Macaca fascicularis: one gene and its partner. The protein of the gene in region 2 interacts with the protein of the main gene of each other region in a pairwise test. Links are inferred from orthologs where the notes say so. Each region holds a gene or a part of one and is shown on either strand. Other genes may lie near its edges.

Evidence for each region. The genes of interacting proteins can lie anywhere in the genome.
Region 1: the proteins of SGTA (region 2) and SLPI interact in binary tests that used the Homo sapiens proteins (3 or more experiments, as listed by UniProt). The two-hybrid records come from large-scale screens. The link is inferred for Macaca fascicularis from reciprocal best matches to the Homo sapiens genes SGTA and SLPI.

Annotation. Positions count from the first base shown.
Region 1 is NC_088384.1:101,334,370-101,344,201, forward strand, and holds SLPI (antileukoproteinase), read right to left. Parts: upstream 5,527-9,832; 5' UTR 5,506-5,526; coding exon 5,421-5,505; intron 4,699-5,420; coding exon 4,540-4,698; intron 4,120-4,539; coding exon 3,970-4,119; intron 3,392-3,969; coding exon 3,387-3,391; 3' UTR 3,211-3,386; downstream 1-3,210.
Region 2 is NC_088393.1:3,461,533-3,471,240, reverse strand, and holds the start of SGTA (small glutamine-rich tetratricopeptide repeat-containing protein alpha), read left to right. Parts: upstream 1-4,640; 5' UTR 4,641-4,681; intron 4,682-9,708. Other genes in the region: THOP1 (thimet oligopeptidase), read right to left, coding at 2,235-2,250. UniProt on the Homo sapiens protein: Co-chaperone that binds misfolded and hydrophobic patches-containing client proteins in the cytosol. Mediates their targeting to the endoplasmic reticulum but also regulates their sorting to the proteasome when targeting fails.

The sequences.
Region 1 (9,832 bases), on a different chromosome or scaffold from region 2:
ACAGTTGAACCCATAGAAGTAGAGTAGAATGGTGGTTGCCAGAGGCTGGGGTTGGGGAGAGAAGATGTTGGTCAAAATTTCAAGTTTTAATTAGACAAAAAGAATAAGTTTTTGAGCTCTATCGCACAGTATGGTGAATATAGTTTACAACAATGTGTTATCTATTTAAAAACTGCAAAAAGAGTAAATTTCTAATGATTTTAGCACAAAAAAGTACATAAGGTAATGGATATGTTAATTAGCTTTATTTAATCGTTCTACATCGCATGCATATTTCAAGACATTGTACCCCATAAGCATATACAATTATAATTTGTCAATTAAAAACTTAAAAAAGAAATTTAAAATGTAGTGGCTGAAAAGAATAAACGGAAATCAAATAACCATGTTAGAGATTATTGTTAAACTCCATAAAAGTTATTAGTTTGAACTTTAAAAGAAAAAAAAGCCAATTGCTGTCATTACTAGTATGAGCTTTGCTCTACCCAGCTGTAAAAATTCCTCTCTTTCTTATAATAAATGTCCACAAATATACAAGTCTCCTTGTAGATAGTCTTTTTTTCATATAGTGTCACTCTCATGATGTCCTTGTAGGTATTCCATTCCACTGGACTATTTGTTTATTCCTGTACCAACATCATACTACCCTAATTATTATATCATCAGCACATTTTGATACCTAATCTAGCTACCCTCCATTCTTGTACTTTTAAAAAACTTTACGGGCTCTACTGCAACCTTTATAATAATACATTAACTGTAGGATCACTTCGTCAAGTTCTTCTCAAAAATTGTATTAGGTTTTTTATTGTAATCACATTGGATTTAGAAATAATTTTAAAGAAATCATTATCTTTACCTTATTAAGCCTTCCCAAACATAAACATTATTTTTTTATCTACTGAGTTCATATTTTAGACCTTTATTTCTAAAATTTGTTTTTAATCCATGAAGGTTTGGCACAATTTGGGGGCTTATTCCTAGGTATTTTGTAGCATTTGTTTCTTTGACTACTTCTGGCTACTTTCTTTGACTATTTATGTCTACTTCTATTATTTCTGATTGGTTATAAACAATGTGTAGAAATGCTATAGAATTTTGTGTAGGCCTTATACCCAGCAACTTTGGTAAATCTTATTTTATCAATCTTATTGAATGTCTCAAATTGTTATACAGGAAATGATACTGTCTGCAAATAATGACCATTTTGTATCTTTCTTCCCAATCTTTTCCTTTATCTCATTTAGCTGCACAGTTTTAAATATTTCATACATTGTTGAAAATACTGATGATCCTTATTGTCTTACTTCAGTGACAATGCCTCTGAAAAATTAACTTAATGTAGATTTTGCTACAGAATTTCAGGTATGTTACCTTTTCTGGATTTATTTCTATTTTTAATTTTAATTTAAAAAATTCATATTCACATTGAACTCTATGAAAGCTTTTAAAACCTTGATGAATTCTAATTTTTAGCATTTTACTTAGGATCTTCATACTTATGTTTGTAGAAGATGACATTGGCTCATAATTTTCTTTTACTGTCCATATTTGGTTGTAGTATCAAATTTTTGCTAAATTCATTGTATTGCTTATCAATTGCTGTATAACAACTTTCCCCAAAACTTAGCATCTTAAAACCATTAACATCAATTCACAATTTGAGAGTCAGGAATCCGCTTAGATTAGCTTAGCTAGGTAGTTGTGGTTCAGGGCCCTCATGAGATTACAGTCAAGCTATCTGCTGGGACTGCAGTCTTTTCAAGACTAGAGCGGGCCAGGTGCAGTAGCTCATGCCTGTAATCCCAACACTTTGGGAGGCCAAGGCAGGAGGATTGCTTGAGCCCAGGAGTTCTAGACCAACTTGGCCAACATGGCAAGACCTCGTCTCTAAAAAAAGTTTTTTAAAAATTAGCTGGATGTGGTGACGTGCACTTGTAGTCCTAGCTACTCAGGAAGCGAAGGTAGAATGATCACTTGAGCCCAGGAATTCAAGGCTGCAGTGAGCCGTGATCATGCCACTGCACTCCAGCCTGGGCGACAGAGTGAGATTCTATCAGAAAAAATAAAAGACTAGAGCAAGACTGAAAAACCCACTCCACGCTCACTCATGTGTTTATGGATGGGCCTCCGTTCCTCATGGGCTGTTGGTCAGAAGTGTTGGATCCTCACCCTGTGGGCCACTGCACAGATGGCCTGAGTTTCCTCATGACCTGCCAAAAGAATGCCCTCAGAGTAAGTGATTGAGGAGAGAGAGAATGCCTCCACAATGGAAGCTGCAAACATTTATCATCTAATTTCGTGAGGACATAACTATCTCTCACTTTTGTAATGTTTTATTAGTCACACAAACTAACTGTGGAAAAATGCAGGAGGGGGCTACACAAAGGTGTGAATACCAACAGGTGAGATCACTGGGGGCCAACGTGAAGGGTGACTGCCACACTCATCAAATAAATAAAATGGTTCTCCCTCTTTTTCCTCTTCATTGAATTGTTAATTTAATATATTCCCTTGCTGCTCTTAGAGCATTGTTTGAAAGTAGTAAGGAAGAATTTTTAGTTTGCTGACTTTTTCCAGGGAAGGATTGAATTACAATATTTTTTAAAATCTTATCTAATCAAGTTGTCTCTTTCCTCTGGAATCCACAAAGCAGAGCAATGTGGAGCAAGGCCCTTTGCCTGCTCCTTAGCTCTTAGCAGTCCCAGTTCCTGTTACTCCTGCTCCGTGGAGTCAAGGACACCACCACCCTTGCATGGTATGGCCAATAGTGTGCCATAAATGCTACCCATTATGGTAACGTTCTCATCGTAAAATAGAAGAAATAGTGTCGTGGGAGAGAGAGGAAATTAAAGAGACTCAAAATCACTCCAGTAGGCCACAAGTAGCCCCTATTTTTTGAGAACTTGCTGTGGCCTAGTAACATTGCTATTTATTACACACACAATGCTTCCTCCAATGTTCCAAATGCTGTGAGAAGTTGACTTTTATTGCCACTTCACAGACAAAAGAATTGAAATTTAGGAGATAAAAATCACTTGTCCAAAATCACAGAGCCAGTACTTATAGACTCATGATATAAATTCAAGTCCCCCCAGTCCCTATGCCTCTTCCTCCCACTATATACCCATAGGAGGAAGGCCTCATAGCTAGATCTTCCCTCATAGCCTCCCACCCCACTCATAACCCCAATGAATCACAGAAGCAGGGTACAAAGAGAAATAGGCTCATTTATTTATTCATTGATCAACTGGCACTTCCTGAAATCCTGCTGTGTGCCAAGCCTTTCCCCAAAGGAGGATATCGGTGGTGGAGCCAAGTCTGGGGGTGGAAAGGACCTGGACCACACAGAGCAGGACTCCAGAGCCTCCTCCAAATCACAGGAATCAAGCTGTGAGAGAAAATCAGATAAGAGCTTCAGCATAGAAATCAGCCAAATCATATTCACATCCTTCCTTCTGCCCAAGGATCCTCCTGAGATAAAGAAAATAGCAAGATAGTGCTATAGTTGAGAGAGACTTAGTGTCAGGAGACAAGTCTCATTTTCACCGTAAAACTCTAAATTGAAAGCATTGAATTAGATAATCCTCAAACTCCACGGATCGTTTGGGATTTAACCTCAGAAAACATGACGGAAACAACCTGAATAATAAATTCTTAGTGCACATAGTGCTTTGCAGAGCACTTTCAATCTCATTATGTCCATTTTACCGATAAAGAAACTGAGACTCAGAAAGTCACTTGCCCAGGACCCCCACCCAGAGACACTAGAATAGAATCAAAGCCACAGGTGATCCTATGGAAATCCTGGCCCTGAGACCTAGAGAACAGTTCTCTTGAAGGACAAGGGAGTCAGACAGAGGCTCTGCTTGGAATAGGGGTCAAGAGTCCCCCAGCCCATATGCCTGGGCCTCCAGAGGGTTGAGGCTGAGATGGAGGGAGCTCAGTGTGCCCTCGGCCCCTGCTTACCTTTCACAGGGGAAACGCAGGATTTCCCACATATGCCCATGCAGCACTTCAAGTCACGCTCGCACTGGCCATCCATCTCACAGTAATTGGGGGGTTTAAGCATCATACATTGGCCATAAGCTGGTGGACAATGCCCAGGCTTCCTCCTCGCTGGGTGAGAGTGAGGCTACCAGTCAGAGGCCTTGTACTTTACACAACCCCTCCTATCTCCACTTTTTAGAGTGAGCCCCTGCTGCAACCTGAGCAGGTCGGATCATCCCCCCCGATCTCTATCACCACCACTTTCTCCGTAAGTCACCCCCCAAACATAGCACCTGGCTGTCCTAGAACATCAGGCCCCCGTTGATGCAGGGGGCCAGTCGTCCAGTGCTGACTAGGTGGGAGGCTTCCAACTACCTGACTATCTAAATGCCCGCTGCTTCACCACCTGCTGGCTACCTTCCTGCTTAGGGCATGTGACTCATTGACTGATTGACAAGGAGGCCTGGCAGGACCCATCACCCAGTGCCATCCCCCTAATGCTGTGTCCTCAGGCTCACTCCTCTCTACCCAGTTCCCCGATCTGCTTACTTGGGCTTGGGGTGTCAACAGGATCCAGGCATTTGATGCCACAAATGTCAGGACAACATCTCTTCTTCCCTAGACACTGCCAGTCACTCTGGCACTGAGGTTTCTCATATCTAAGGCACTGGGCAGATTTCTTAGGAGGACAGACTCCGGCTTTGAAGGCTTTTGAAGAGAAAGTCAAGAGGTCAGGAGTAGGCTGGGCACTGAGAAGTCATCATGCCTGCTGAACAAAGCACCACTTTTGAGGGGGAGAGACCCTTACCTCAGGAGCTATCCACAAAGCCCAAAGGGTCATGCCTGCCTGATCTCCGGGTGGATTGATGGGCTTGATTAAATTGGACAAATGGACAGGGGATGTTTCAGACCCAAGAAAAGGGCAGCAGGCTTCTAGTCAAGACCTCCCACCCCAGAGCAAAACAGGGCTACACAAAGGCAGAGAGGAAGGCTGGGAGTGATGGAGATGGAGACAGATAAACAAAGATAAATAGAACCAGTGTGAGAGAAGTTGAGAGCTAAAGCCCAAGGCAGAAACACAGAGACAAAATAGCAGAAGCGAAGACACAAAGAAGAAGCAGAGTCAGAAACTAATGATTTGAGAGTCACAGACAGGTGAAGAAGGCAGAGGATAAGAGAGAGAGAGACAGAGAGAGAGAGAGAGTGGGATCTGGGCCGACAGCATGGTTGCATAGAAAAAGCATTTCCAGAAGCTCAGAAACCCTCACAGAAACCTTGGAGCTCAGCCAGACATGTATTCCACTCTCAGGGAGGTCTCCTGAAACTAAGCTGAGAGATCAGAGCCTACAGAAGGGGACACACCCACATCACCAGGAGACCGCACCTCTGACCCTGCAGCCCAGATTAGACCAGAATGACTCCCAACTTACACTTTCCAGAGCCTTCCACAGCCCAAAGTGCCAGGGTTCCCAGGGCAAGAAGCATCATGAAGGGGAAGAGGCCACTGGACTTCATGGTGAAGGCAGGAGTGACTCTGATGGCCAATGCCAAACCTCACTATTTATTCTTTCACCAGTGGGTGTGGCCCAACCAGAATTCTTTTGGCCTCTCCCAGCTACTATTGCATAAGCAGGAAGCTTAGCCAGAGACCAGAAATCCTGGCACCAAGGAGACGGTTTATCTTTCCTATGCCAGGTGAGGCTTTGAGGTCAATACAGTAATTACCAGAAAAGAAAGGGAAGAGGTTGGCCTGAGAGGTTGGCTGATTAAAGAGGCCATCTCAGTGTCCATCTGAGCCCTAAACATCACGAGACCCGAGGCCATTAGCCTTACAGGTGGAGAGGGGAAGAAGTGGTCAATTGCAAAGGTGCTACCTGGACCTGGAACTGAAACCAGATGCAGACCCCCAGCTGAGACTTCGTGCATTACATCCTATTCTCACATTACGAATTCTGATTTTCACATTATTGGACTCTAAGGCATTGTGAAACTCTGCTGAATGCTCAATGCAGTTTCTTTCTCAAAAGTTCAGCTCATTCAACCAACCGATACTTAGTTCCCTGAAATATTTACACCGTTTATCCCCAGTGCCTGTCACAGGAAAAGCATTCACTCAACAAATGAAAGCTGAAGAAGAGCTCTGCTCTCAGCAAATCTCTTCAGAGCTCAGTTTTCTCAGCTGTGAAATGAAATGATACTAACAAGTCAGCCCTTCTCAGAGGGTTATGAAATTAAGGGCATGAAGGGACTCTGAAAAGAATAAATGAATTGTATCCCTTCCCACTAAAGAGAACTGAAATGAATCTGAGATAAAGGGGGAAAGCAGCTCATCAGTCACTGTAATCAACATTTAGCTATGAGATAATTTGAGATCTTAGAGGACTGCTTCCTAAAATTCCCCAAAAACCCTTACAGATCTCACATGACAGCAAAAAATTAAACTCGTTCTATATGCTACCCAATCTGCATAGATTGCTTCTAATTATAAAGAGAGTCATCATTATCTCTAAAATTCAGCCCATAGCTGAGTGTAGGGTCACATACATACAGTCTCAGCTGCTCATGAGGCTGAGGTGTGTGGATTCCTTGAGACTAGGAGTTTGAGACCAGCCCTGGCCAGATATTGAGACCCTATCTCTACAAAAAAATTTTAAAAATTAGCCAGGCATGATGATGTATGCCTGCAGTCCCAGCTACTTGGGAGGCTGAGCCAGGAGTATGGCTTTAGCCCAGGAGTTTGAGGCTGCAGTGAACCATGATTATGCCACTGCATTCCAGCTTAGGGAACAGAGCTATACTCTGTCTTAAAAAAATAAAATAAAATAAAATAAAATTCAACCAAACCTCATCTGGCTGCAAACTCTAAGCTCTTGACTCACTATCTTCATGCTTAGAATTCTCCCATTCATTCCTAAAGTGAATGTTTGTGGAACTTTTCACAGACATGAAAGACTCACTCATTATCAAGTAGTGACAGCCCCACATGAAGTATTTAAGTATTCCACAACCAGACAGTCAACTGGCAGCAGATCTGTTTATATGAAAGTCACTCCATGGTTTAAATTTTGGTGGATCAGAAGACTTGGACATAATCAATCAATCATCAATCAAATTTTGGTGGAAAAAGAAAAGGACGAAAATTAATATGCATGAGGTAACTACTATGAACCAGGTACATTCAGTCCTAGTTGGTATTTAGTAGGGCAGGTAAGAGAGAAATGGAGGATATGATTTCCGCCAGTGGGTAATGACACTCTCAAGTCAAGATTTTTGTTCTCACCTGCACTACCCAGGGGACAATTTTATTTCTCTCACATAGTTTCTGTTCTCTCTCTCTCTGTTTGTTCCTATTTTCCTCAGTGCCACACTCAAGAAATTGTCTGGAGTTTTCTAAATATTTGTTTCTTAAAGAATGAAAAGGGGCTGGGCATGGTGGCTTATGCCTGTAATCCTAGCACTTTGGGAAATCAAGGTGGGCAGATCACTTGAGGTCAGGAGTTCGAGAGCAGACTGGCCAACATGGTGAAACCCTATCTCCACTAAAAATACAAAAATTAGCCAGGCATGGTGAAAGGGTGAAACGCACCTGTAACCCCAGCTACTCAGGAGGCTGAGGCAGGAGAATCACTTGAACCCTGGAAGTAGAGGTTGCAGTGAGCCAAGATTGCGCCATTGTACTCTAGCCTGGGCAACAGAATGGGACTCCATCTCAAAAAAAAATTAAATAATTAATTAAAAGGAGAATGCTACAGCTTAAGGTTTTTTTTGTTGTTTTTTTTTTTTAATCTCCAATTGGCTGATTGCTTAATGTGTGATTGACCGATTAGAGCCAACTCCTTTCTCATGAGAAAAGTACCCTGTGCCCAATTAGCAATGTCTTCCATGGGTGTCAGAGGAGGATAATAATATATAATCATTATTATCTTTGACATAATTGGTTCTAAATCTTTACATCAGGCCGGGCGCGGTGGCTCACGCCTGTAATCCCAGCACTTTGGGAGGCCGAGGCGGGCGGATCACAAGGTCAGGAGATCGAGACCACGGTGAAACCCCGTCTCTACTAAAAATACAAAAAATTAGCCGGGCGCGGTGGCGGGCGCCTGTAGTCCCAGCTACTCAGGAGGCTGAGGCAGGAGAATGGCGTAAACCCAGGAGGCGGAGCTTGCAGTGAGCTGAGATCGCGCCACTGCACTCCAGCCTGGGCGACAGAGCGAGACTCCGTCTCAAAAAAACAAAACAAAAAACAAACAAACAAACAAACAAAAATCTTTACATCATAGAATGTGAAGACTAAAGAGGACTTCAAGCGTTTTCTAGATCAGCAAACTACAGTCCTTGGACCAAATTTCCACCTAGTCACCTGTTTTTATAAAGTTTTATTGGCACATAGCCATACATCCATTAATTTATGTACTGTCTACGGCTATTTTTCCACTACAATGGCAACAGGGACCTAAAATATTTACTGCCAAGCCTAAAATACTTATTGTCTGGTCCTTTACAGAAAATGCTAACTCCTAGACCAAACCCGCAGCTTGCATAAAAGAGACTGAATCCCTTAGAAGATCCAGGCTCAAAGCTGCATAGCGGATTAATGACACACACAAGATTGAGCTTTTCTAAAACAGGTTGCTCACATGCTGATCCCCAGAACCTGTTTGGTGGAGGACACTTCCGCTGCTAACCCAATCTTAACCTGAGATTGACTCATTAAATCTATTTCAAAGCCGGGAGCAGTGGCTCATGCCTGTGATCCCAGAACTTTGGGAAACTGAGGCAGGTGGATCACTTGAGTTTGGGAGTTTGAGAATAGCCTGGCCAACATGGTGAAATCCCATCTCTACTAAAAATACAAAATTTAACTGGGCATGGTGGTGTGTGCCTGTAATACTCAGGAGGCTGAAGCAGGAGAATCACTTCAATCCGGGAGGTAGAGTTGCAGTGAGCTCAGATCACAGTACTGGGCTATGAGAGTGAGACTCCATCTCAAAAAAAAAAATAAAAAAATAAAAATCTATTTCACACACCCTTTATTGTGTTCTACCTAAATCCTACAGATTCCTTCATTCATTTATACAATCCATTCCCACAAAAGTTATTTAACATTTCTTACCGCATGTCAGGTATTGCACTAGGCCTAGGGCTACAGAAAAGAGCACGCACACAGAGTCGACACCACATGGTTTTGAGAACCTGAACTTCAAAGTCAGACTTACAGGTTGGAAGCAAATCACTGAACCTCTTTGAACTTCAGCTACCTCCGCTGTAAAATGAGAGTGTTGCTGCCTCTGGAGTCGTATTTGGAAAGCACTCAGCACAATGTCTGGTCCTCTCAGTACAGTACATATTGTTTTTATTACCGGCGTGTCCCTGCACACATTAAGCGCACAGGGAGCTGTCAGTCTTTAACTGAATAGCTTAGTCCTTGGGTCTGGACCCATCTGGCTCTGCCCCATTAAATGTTTGACAAAACGTGGTCTCATTTCTTGACAAAATAGACCTGATTGGACCTATTGGTAAGTAGGTAGATAGATAGATCTTAACTGACAGATAGATATAGATTAGATAGATAGATAGATAGACAGCCAGATAATCAGCTATTGGTTCTCTTTCTCTGGAGAACCCTGGTTGATGGAACCTACTTGCCTCTGCACTTCCCACTGCCATTTATTAAAGTTGGTTACATCATTACTTGTGAGGCTGCATCATCTTTTACGCCTCCTCTGAATATTGGTTTCCAATTATTGTCTCAAATGTTGTTAGTGTGGTCCCTTGTCCCTGACTACCAGGGTGCTGGTGACAGAGGGAACCTGCTAGCTGGTGGGTCCTGCACACACCAAGT
Region 2 (9,708 bases):
GGGAACAATTCAGGGTGCAGAGAACAAGAACCGTCTAAGAATTCAGTGAGGAATGAAGGCAAAACATCTTGTATCCTGAATACCACCAGAAAGTTTTCAAGAGGTAGCTGTTATTACAGACCATGTTCTGCTGTCCAAAAACTCTTGGGGCCGGGGACATTTTACCATTCAGAATTCCCCCCATTGTAGAAAAGTAAGAGTCCAAGTGCCATGTATTCCAAATCACTAGGGAGGCTGGGGCAGCACTCCGAAATCAAATTACTCTTTCTGCAGCGAGAGGCAGGAATACGCACCAGGGTCTCTCCCTGCCTGCACTGTGGCCATCCGGGCCGGATCGTTCTCTGGGGTGGAGCCGTCCTGGGCGCTGCAGGGTGCTGAGCATCCCTGGCCTCCATCCACTCCATACCAGCAGCGCCCCCCAACTGTGACAACCACAAATGTCCCCAGACATGGCCCAGCGTCCCCTGAGGAAGCACAATCACCCCAGCTGAGAATCAGTGACATTCGCTAACTGGGAAAAAGAAAGGCTCTCAGTCGGTCGGTCAGCTGCGGTCACTTTCTGGCCAAATGACTTTGCTGTAAACTTACGGCAAACCTTTCAGTTTACAGAGTATTTAGGATTTTAGAACTGCAAAAAAGGGACCGTGGATCTACATTAAACCGTGGGGTAAAGAAGAGCTTCAGGGGCTCTGAAAGGACGGAGATCAACGGGAACTGGAATTGTCAGAAAATTCTCCTGGAGGAGTTAGGATTTGAAAAACTTGTGGACGTCAGTTCATCCTGTAAATATCTACTGATTGTGCCAAGGATCCAGTAGCAAACAAGGCAGACGACATTCCTTCCTTCCCAAGGTCTGAATATCCCCGATTATCATTATTACAATTATCACCCTCATTGCAATGGGCTGGACAAAGAGCTGGGGGAATGTGGCTGGGCAAGAGAAAAGCCAAGGATACGGGCAAGGATTTGCCTCAACAACAACCAGAGTGACTTTCTAAAATCGGGTACGGTGGCTCACATCTGCAATCCCAGCACTTTGGGAGGCTGAAGCAGATGGATCACTTGAGGTCAGAAGTTCAAAACCAGTCTGGTTAAGATGGTGAAACCCCATCTCTACCAATAATACAAAAATTAGCCGGGTGTGGTGGTGCGTGCCTGAAATCCCAACTACTTGGGAGGCTGAAGCAGGAGAATCGCTTGAACCCCAGAGGCAGAGGTTGCAGAGAGCCTCTGTGGGCAGAAATCGACCACTACACCCCGGCCTGGGAGACAGAGAGAGACTGTCTCAAAAAATAAATAAACAAGTAAAGAAAAAACACAACATCACCCCTTTGCCTTTAAATTAAAAGGGTCTTGGCTGGCTACAGTGGCTCATGTCTGCAATCCCAGTACTCTGGGAGGCCGAGGCAGGTAGATTGCTTGAACCCAGGACTTCAAGACCAGCCTGGGCAACACAGCGAAACCTCATCTCTACAAAAATTAGCCAAGCGTGGTGGTGCAGGTCTGTAGTCCCAGCCACTCAGGAGGCTGAGGCAGGAGGATTGCTTGAGCCCAGGAGTTCCAGGCTGCAGGGAGTCGTGATCGCACCACTGCACTCCAGCCTGGGCCCCAAAGTAAATAAATAACACAATAAACAGGTCCCCTCTTTACGTTCCAGCCAAACTGACTTTCTGCTCTCCAAACACGTTCCCTCCTCCCGGGACGCCTCCTTCCCCGGTGCTGGCAGGACACCTGCTTCTCCCAATCAAGCAAGTCAAGGCTCACCTCTTCAGAAAAGCCCCCCAGGACCAACCTCTCTCTGGGAATGCCCCGTTCGTGTTTATTTGCTCCCTGGGACTGCCCTGTTCGTGTTTATTTACTCCAGAGCACCGATCCCTCCCTATCTTCGATCCTCTCTTGCTTATTTACTTGTTGAATGTCTGTCTCTGGCTCTAGAATTCCGGGAAAACGGGGACCGGAGTCCTCAAATCACGGCCTCCCGAGGGTTCGCCACGGGGCCCGACCCATCCGGAAGGGAAGCGCCATCAACTTTGCAGAATGAATGAAGCGCTGGAAAAGCTGGTTCGTTCATTCTGCAAACGAGAGAGCGGGGTCGCCCACCTCCCCCGCTGCCCCTCCAGCCCGGCCGAGGGTGGCTCGGGGACCACTCCGCTCCAGCCTTAGGCCCAAGTCGCGACCCCGGGAGGAGTGAGGGTGCAGGGGAGCCCGGGTCCGGCGAGCGGGGTAGTCGGTACCTGCGGGGGGCTTCATGGCGGGTGGGTCTGCGCCTGCGGCTCCCTCCCTCCTTCCACCTGCTACGCGTCCAGCCACCTCGGCCACTGAGGCCGCCTCTCTCGGCCCAACCGCCGCCACCGCCGCCACGGCCGCCTGAAGACCAAGCGACCCGCCGCCTGCGCACCCGGGGCATGCTGGGGCGGCGCGTGCACAGGGAGGGCAGGACGCACGCGTGCCCAAGCCCCGCCCACACCTAAAGGAGGCGGGCCGAGACGCTGGAGCTCTCTGCGCATGCGCTCAACCCTCCCAGTCCGTCATTGGTCTCGGGGTTGCGTGGGCGGAGCCTCTTGCGGTACCCCTCCAGAGCCGCTGCGGTGGCTAGAAAGGACGGTTTCCTTGGAAACCGCACGCCGCTGACGCCTCTCAGCCTCTGTCTGAGCGGTTCTTTCCGCGGAAACTTCGCCTGGGCTTCAGGCTACCGTGTTATTGTGTGCTTGCCTCCCTTCTTATAGCTGTGTGTTGGGCCAGTGTTATTATCGATCGCTAACTGTATCCCAGGCCCACTTTCCAGCATCTGAATCAGACGAATCAATTACATTAACCAGAAGTTTTGGTGTTTGGTTGTTTTTGAGACGGAGTCTCGCTCTGTCGCCCAGGCTGGAGTGCAGTGGCAGCAATCTCGGCTCACTGCAACCTCCGCCTCCCGGGTTCAAGCAATTCTCCTGCCTCAGCCTCTCGAGTAGCTGGGACTACAGGCGCGAGCCGCCACGCTCGGCTAATTTTCGTATTTTTAGTAGAGACAGGGTTTCACCATGTTGGCCAGGATGGTCTTAATCTCTTGACCTCGTGATCCGCCCGCCTCGGCCGCCCAAAGTGCTGGGATTACAGGTGTGAGCCACCGCGCCCGGCCAAGGTTTATTTTTTGTCAGAAACATAAGCAAGTAAACTGATTCATGTCAAATAACAGGTGTTTTGGAACAGTGCAGTAACCTGACCTACATCCAGTGTTGTGGGTTGAAACAAAAAACATCTGGAACCGTCTGTCTTGAACTGTTATGGCACCCAGAAAAAACAATGTACTACAATTAAACTGGCAAAAACGAAGCAACCGACCTCCTTTCCTTTTATGTTTTTTGTTTTTGTTTCGTTTTGTTTTGGAGGGACTGGACGGAGTCTCACTCTGTCGCCCAGGCTGGAGTACCATGGCGCGATCTCGGCTCACTGCAACCTCTGCCTCTCGGGTTCAAGCGATTCTCCTGCCTCAACCTCCCGAGTAGCTGGGACTACAGATGCCCGCACCACGCCCGGCTAGTTTTTGTATTTTTAGTAGAGACAGGTTTTCAGCATGTTGGCCAGGCTGGTCTCGAACTTCTGACCTCAAGTGATCTGCCCCTTGGCCTCCCAAAGTGCTGGGATTACAGGTGTCAGCCACCGCGCCCGGTCTCACCTTCTTTATTTCTGCAAAAGAAATTAAAATAATCCACGCCATTAATCGTGCATGTATTTCGAGTAGGACAACAATGAATTGGGAGAACATTTCTGTCAATTATAACTCAGATGGTGATCAGTTTTCTGTCGTCCTTGGAAATTTCTCATCTCTCATCTCTATTTTTTTTTCCATATGTCTTGAGCACACCAAGCTTTTACATTGGCCTTCATTTTTGCTGTTCCCTGTGCCTGGGGTCCGTTTGGACTTTTTCCTATCCTTGAAATCCAAATCTAAAGGATGATCTTTCCTACCCATACCATACAACTTAGCTCCCGGTGGCAATCACACCACCTTCATTTTTTTTGTAGTGTTAGCTGTGAAATTTCTTGTTTATCTACTTATGTACTAGTTTATTAGTTTATAGTTCGTCTACCCCAATGCAAAATAATGACAGTAGACACTTTGCTGGTTTTTATGACTGGTTTGCAATAAATATGGAATATTAGGCACCTGCTGCCTACTAATGTTTCTATTCTCACAAGCGTCTCATAAATTGACTGCATGAAAGAATGCATTTGTGGGTGAGTAGATGGGTGGGTGAATAAATGAACAAAGATAGCGAGCGGACAACACTGACTCCCATTCATTGCGGGGCTATGACGCTCTGGAGTCCAGGTGGCCAAACGCGGCTGCACCACGTGGCCGGCCCAGCACCACGTGGTCAGCTCGGCGACCGGCTGGAGTCAGCCACTGTTCCACCGTGCACCGCTTCGTTCCCGCCCTAGAGGGCAAACCAGCCCCGACTTCCGGCCTCCATTAGGTCGTAGAGGTCAGTTGCCCTAACGACCAGCTGGTTCCCGCCTCTACGTTGCGTCACTTCCTTCCACGCCCACCTCGATCATTAACGCGCCTGTGCAGAAGGGAAGCAACCCGGGGAGCCCTTCTTCTGCGCAGGCGTCGCGCCCGGGGGCCGGGGCCGGGCGGCTCCGCGGTGCGCAAGCGCAACCGTCGGTGGGTCGGGGATCGGTCGCCTGAGAGGTGAGTGAGGGGCACTGTGCTGAGCCTGGCGGGTGTGGGGTCTGCGACTCGGGGCTCACGGGGCCCCAGAGCCCGTAAGAGGTTGGGGATCGTGAGGCCAGGGTCAGCGCGACCCGCGGGGTCCTGTGAGTAGGCGGAGCGGAGGGGAAACTGAGGCCGGGCGGCATCGGCAGGCCCTTCGAGCCCTGATCTCCCTTCCCCGGGCCCCAGGTCCTGGAAATGCTGGTCCGCGGACTGGTGGCGAGGACGGCTGGAGGGGAAGGCGCCCCGCATGTACTGAGCGCTCGCTGGGTGTTCGCTGCCGTTCCGCTCTTACTAACTGCCTGGAAAAGTCGTCCCTGTGACTCGGGGACCCCCGTTTGTGGGGACTCAAGTCGGGGCTCTGGTCCCAGCGTCGCCAGTCCCTACCTGGGTGACCTTGCCCAGCCTCTTGGCTTCTCGGAGCCTCAGTTTTCCCGTCTGTAAAACGGGCGTTGTCAGAAGTCCCTGCCTGGGAGAATGAGAGCCGCCGCAGGGTCCAGCGGAATCTGAGAACTCCAAAGAATTAGCAGCCGTTCGTCTTATTTCATGTTTAGAGTCTTCTTCTGCATATCGTGCTAGAGGTGGGGGAAATCTGGGATTCAGAACCAGCCCACCACCACCACCCACCCGCTGTGTAAACCTGGATGAGTTGCCTTCCCTCTCTGAGCAAACCTTCTTTTTCGTAAACGAGTTGTAAAAGCAGATGTCTGGGAGGGTCATTATGAGGATAAGCCCACATTCAATGATTTGATCAGGTGCCTGGAACTTGATAAGAGAGAGCTGGCTTGAGAACAGCTGTTTTTGTTATTAGGTGGCAGAAAATTGCAGTGCAATGTGCCTCTCAGAGGTTGGATCATTGTCCCGTTTACTTTTGCTTCTGTCTCTGATTATTCGTTCTCTCTGCCTTTTCCCTCCCTTGACCAGTGTGGTTCTCAACCAGGAACAATTCTGTGCCCCAGAGATTCTTGGTGACATTTGTGCTTTTCACGATTCAGGGGACCCCCTGGTTTGGAGTCGGTGGAGGCCAGGGTTGCTGCTCAGCACCCTGCAGTGCCCAGGACGGCCCCACCCCAGAAAACGATCCAACTTTGAATGTCAATAACGCTTTAAAAACCACACCCTACCATACGGGTGGATCACCTGAGGTCAGGAGTTCGAGACCAGCCTGACCAATGTGGTGAAACCCCGTCTCTCTTGAAAATACAAAACTTAGCTGGGCATGGTGGCGTGCGCCTGTAATCCCAGCTACTCAGGAGGCTGAGGCAGAAGAATCCCTTGAACCCAGGAGGCAGAGGTTACAGAGACCCAAGATCACGCCACTGCACTCCAGCCTGGGTGACAGAGCGAGACCCTGTCAAAAAAAACCAAAAAACAAAAAAAACCTACCCTAGATCAGTGATTCTTCCCCAGCATGGGCAGCTGGGAGTGTGTGGGCCCGGGAAATGGTATACAAAGTTTTGTGTGTGCACCCAATTTTGTGTGGCGAGAAGTGGGCACTTTGGAGTTTAGCTTCTCAAGTGAGGCTGCCTGGGTTCAGAACGCCTCATTTGCATCCTCCTAGCTGGGTGGTCTTGGGTGGTTCCCATCTTTCCAAGCCTCAGTTTTTCTTCTGTGGAATGGGGATTATAAAAGTAACCACCTCAGGTGTGTGAGGATTCAACCGGGCAAGGTATCAGCTAACCAGAAGGCCAAATCCACCTCTGGCCTGTTTTTGGGAATGAAGGTTTGTGGGAACACAGCCACACTCCTTGGTTTGCATGTTACCTGTGGTTGGTTTCGAGCTAAGAAGACACAGTTGAACAGTTGCCGTAGGGACCTTAGCGCCTGCCGAGCTGAAGACAGTCTGGCCCTTTTCAGAAAAACCTCTGCTGACCCCTAAAATAAGCTATCGCATGTACAGCACTTAGCTGGGTGCCTGGAAAGCTGTAAGCGCGCCAAGGATTTGAGCTGAGGTTTATAATTAAATCTTCCTAGAAGGGTGAATGATTCCAAATGGGGGTGAGCTCTGCCCCAGATTGGACGGATCCTTGAGAGCGGCAGTCTTACTCAATTCTATGGTTGTTTTTTTGCCAAGACCCAACAGTGGCCCTGGTAGGAAGTGCTCGGTACAGGCCGAAGGCATAAAAGGGGTGGTTTGAGATAAGGTCTTGCTCTGTCGCCCAGGCTGGAGTGTAGTGGCGCAATCTCCGCTCACTGCAGCCTCGACCTCCCGGGCTCAGGCCCTCCCACCTCAGCCTCCTGAGTAGCTGGGACTACAGGTGTGCACTACCACACCCGGCTAATTTTAGTATTTTGTTGTTTTAGAGATAGGGTTTCACCGTGTTACCCAGGCTGGTCTCAAACTCCTGGGTTCAAGCGATCCTCCACCTTGGCCTCCAGAGTTCTGTGATTACAGGCGTGCCTCACTGCACCTGGCCCGTTTTCTCTTTTACTGAGGTGGAAACAGAAACCCAGAGAGAAATGGCCTCCCCATTTCAAGGAACTTGACCACGTGTCTGTGAATTTTTCAACCATCGAAGGCTTTCCTGAGTCCATAGGGTTTAGACGCTGCCAGATGCTGGCGTTCAAAGGGAAGCTGGGTCTGTCAAGAGGTAGAAAGCCTTGTAAGAGATGCTGGGCCAGAGATGGAGTTTGCAGGAATACTAGATTCTCTCCTAGAGTTGGGCAGGAGAGGTGAGCACTTGAGTTTGAGTGGCACGTACAGGGTTTGGTGTAGGCCCCACAGACGACCCCCAGCTGGTGGGGGGGCCTCCTATGCACACTCCTGGGGTTCCAGGGAGCACTTGAGGGCTTTTATGTGTACAGTGACCTCCTGGTGGCATTTTAGAAGAAAGTGGACTTCGATGTGGGGAGTGGGCAGGGGACTGAGCTAGAACTCGGGTGTCCTGAGAGGGAGTGAGGAGCAGGGCACCTGGCTTTCCTGCCCTGCTGTTGGTGAGAAGCAACGTGGATTTGGGATGGAGGCGGGCAGAGTGCTCACAGAAGGCGGTGGGCAAGAGCGGGCGCTTCCTACTGGAGTGTAAGGAGGTAAGATGGCCTCAGTTTACGAGGATATTCTGTTTTTTTCCATTGAATGATCCATTCTGGGCAGGGAAATAAGGAAGAGAGGTGGTTGTGAGTTTTTTGTCTGGTTTTAGAGACAGGGTCTCACTTTGTCACCCGGGCTGGAGTGCAGAGCCCAGTCACAGCTCACTGCAGCCTCCAACTCCTGGGCTCAAAACGATCTTCTCGCCTCAGCCTCTCAAGCAGCTGGGACTACTGATGTGTGCCGCCACGTCAGGCTAATTTTTTTTTTTTTTGGTGGAGTCTCTTTTGTAGGGTCTCACTGTACACTGTATAATAGCCCAAACTGGTCTCGAACACCTGGACTCGAGCGATTCTCTCGCCTCGGCCTCCCAAAGTGCTGGGATTACAGGCGTGAGCCCCCGCCCCTGACCGAGGGGGCCGTGGTTTGATTTTGTTTTCATTTTAATGATAAAATGAAAAGGTGGGATGTGGAGTCCTCGGCTCAGAGCCGAAAGGGACACTGAAGGCCCCTACGCGGGAGCTGGCGCCACCCCCACGGGCCAGCACTCCTCCCACCCTCACTTGTGCGGCCTCTGCCTTGAGACCAGGCCTCGGCCATGGCTCCTGCGCACCCATAAAGCCGTCGCTGTTGGGAGACACAGCAGGCCTTCTCTGAGAATGCTGTCCCGCAGCCAAACCCTCCAAGTTGTGGTTGTCCCAGAGACAGCGAGTGCCAAACGGCAGTTGAGGAACATGCGTCCTCATGCCTGCTGGACCTCCCTCCGAAGAGCAGAAAACTTTCTGACGGGAGAGCCCGGCTGCTGAAGCAGATTTGAGAACCGTTTGATGATGTCCCCCACCTTGGGGATGGCAGAGAAGCCACAGGTCCTAGCACCCCCGGCCTGTGTCACGTGCAGGGCGGGGCCGTGCTTACCGTAGGTGAGCTGTCCTCCACCACGGACCGCAGTTCTGACACCCAGAATACCCTGCAAACAGAAGGTTTTCAGAAAGTTCACAGCAAAGTCATCTGGCCAGAAAAAGCTGACCCGTGCTGACTTCCAGCCTTTCTTCTTCCCACTTAGTGGCCGCCATGATTTACAGCTGGGGGCGGTTTGGCAGCGTCTGGGGACGTGTGTGGTCGTCTCAGCCGGAGAGTGTTTCAGGCGTGCATGGGGGGGAGCCAGGGGTGCCGCTCAGCTGCCTGCCATGCGCAGGACAGAATCATCCACCCAAGATGCCCACGGTGCCAGGGGGGAGACACCTGCGTTAATTATTTGGGAAAAAATTGAGCCTGCTCCCTGCTCACACAGACACCAGAATAAACTTCCAGCGGGGCAGAGGGTGGGAATCGAGGTCCCCAGGTCCTCGGGTTCGCCGCCTCGCTCCCTCTCCGTGTAGCGTGTAGATTTATCTTTTGTTGTTTTGTTAGAGACAGGGTCTCACTTTGTCGCCCAAGTTGCTCTCGAACTCCTGGGCTCAAGCAACCCTCCACAGTTTGTGAATTTCAATGGGTGCAGCCTCCTGGGCCTTGGTAGAGCAAACAATCACGGGACACAGAGTCTCCTGGGGATCAGTGGCATCCCCTGGCCCAGGGAGTCTAAGCTGGGACACTTCTGCTCAGCTGTGCCCCAGGCTAACGGGGAGGGGGCAGGGTAGAGACCACGAGGCCAAGAGGTTCTCTGGGCCGTGGAGGGTGTTCCAGGAGAGAAAAGAGCACGTGCAAAGGCCCTGGGGTACAGAGGCGCTGGCGGGACCGGGAGGGAGGAGTGTGACTCAGTGAGGCTCACTGTTCCACTCTCTGAACCCTCAGTGGATCCCTAGCCACCCGCCACCCCGTCCAGTCCTCACACCTCAGTCTAAGAGAGAAGGAAACCGGTACACCAAAGATGAGATTTCTTGGTTTAGAAGGAGCGCACATCCCCCTCCACACACCCGCCCCCAGCGTGGATCGTGCTAGGCCCTGCGTGCCTGGAATGCTAAGCCGCGTTCCAGCTGTCACT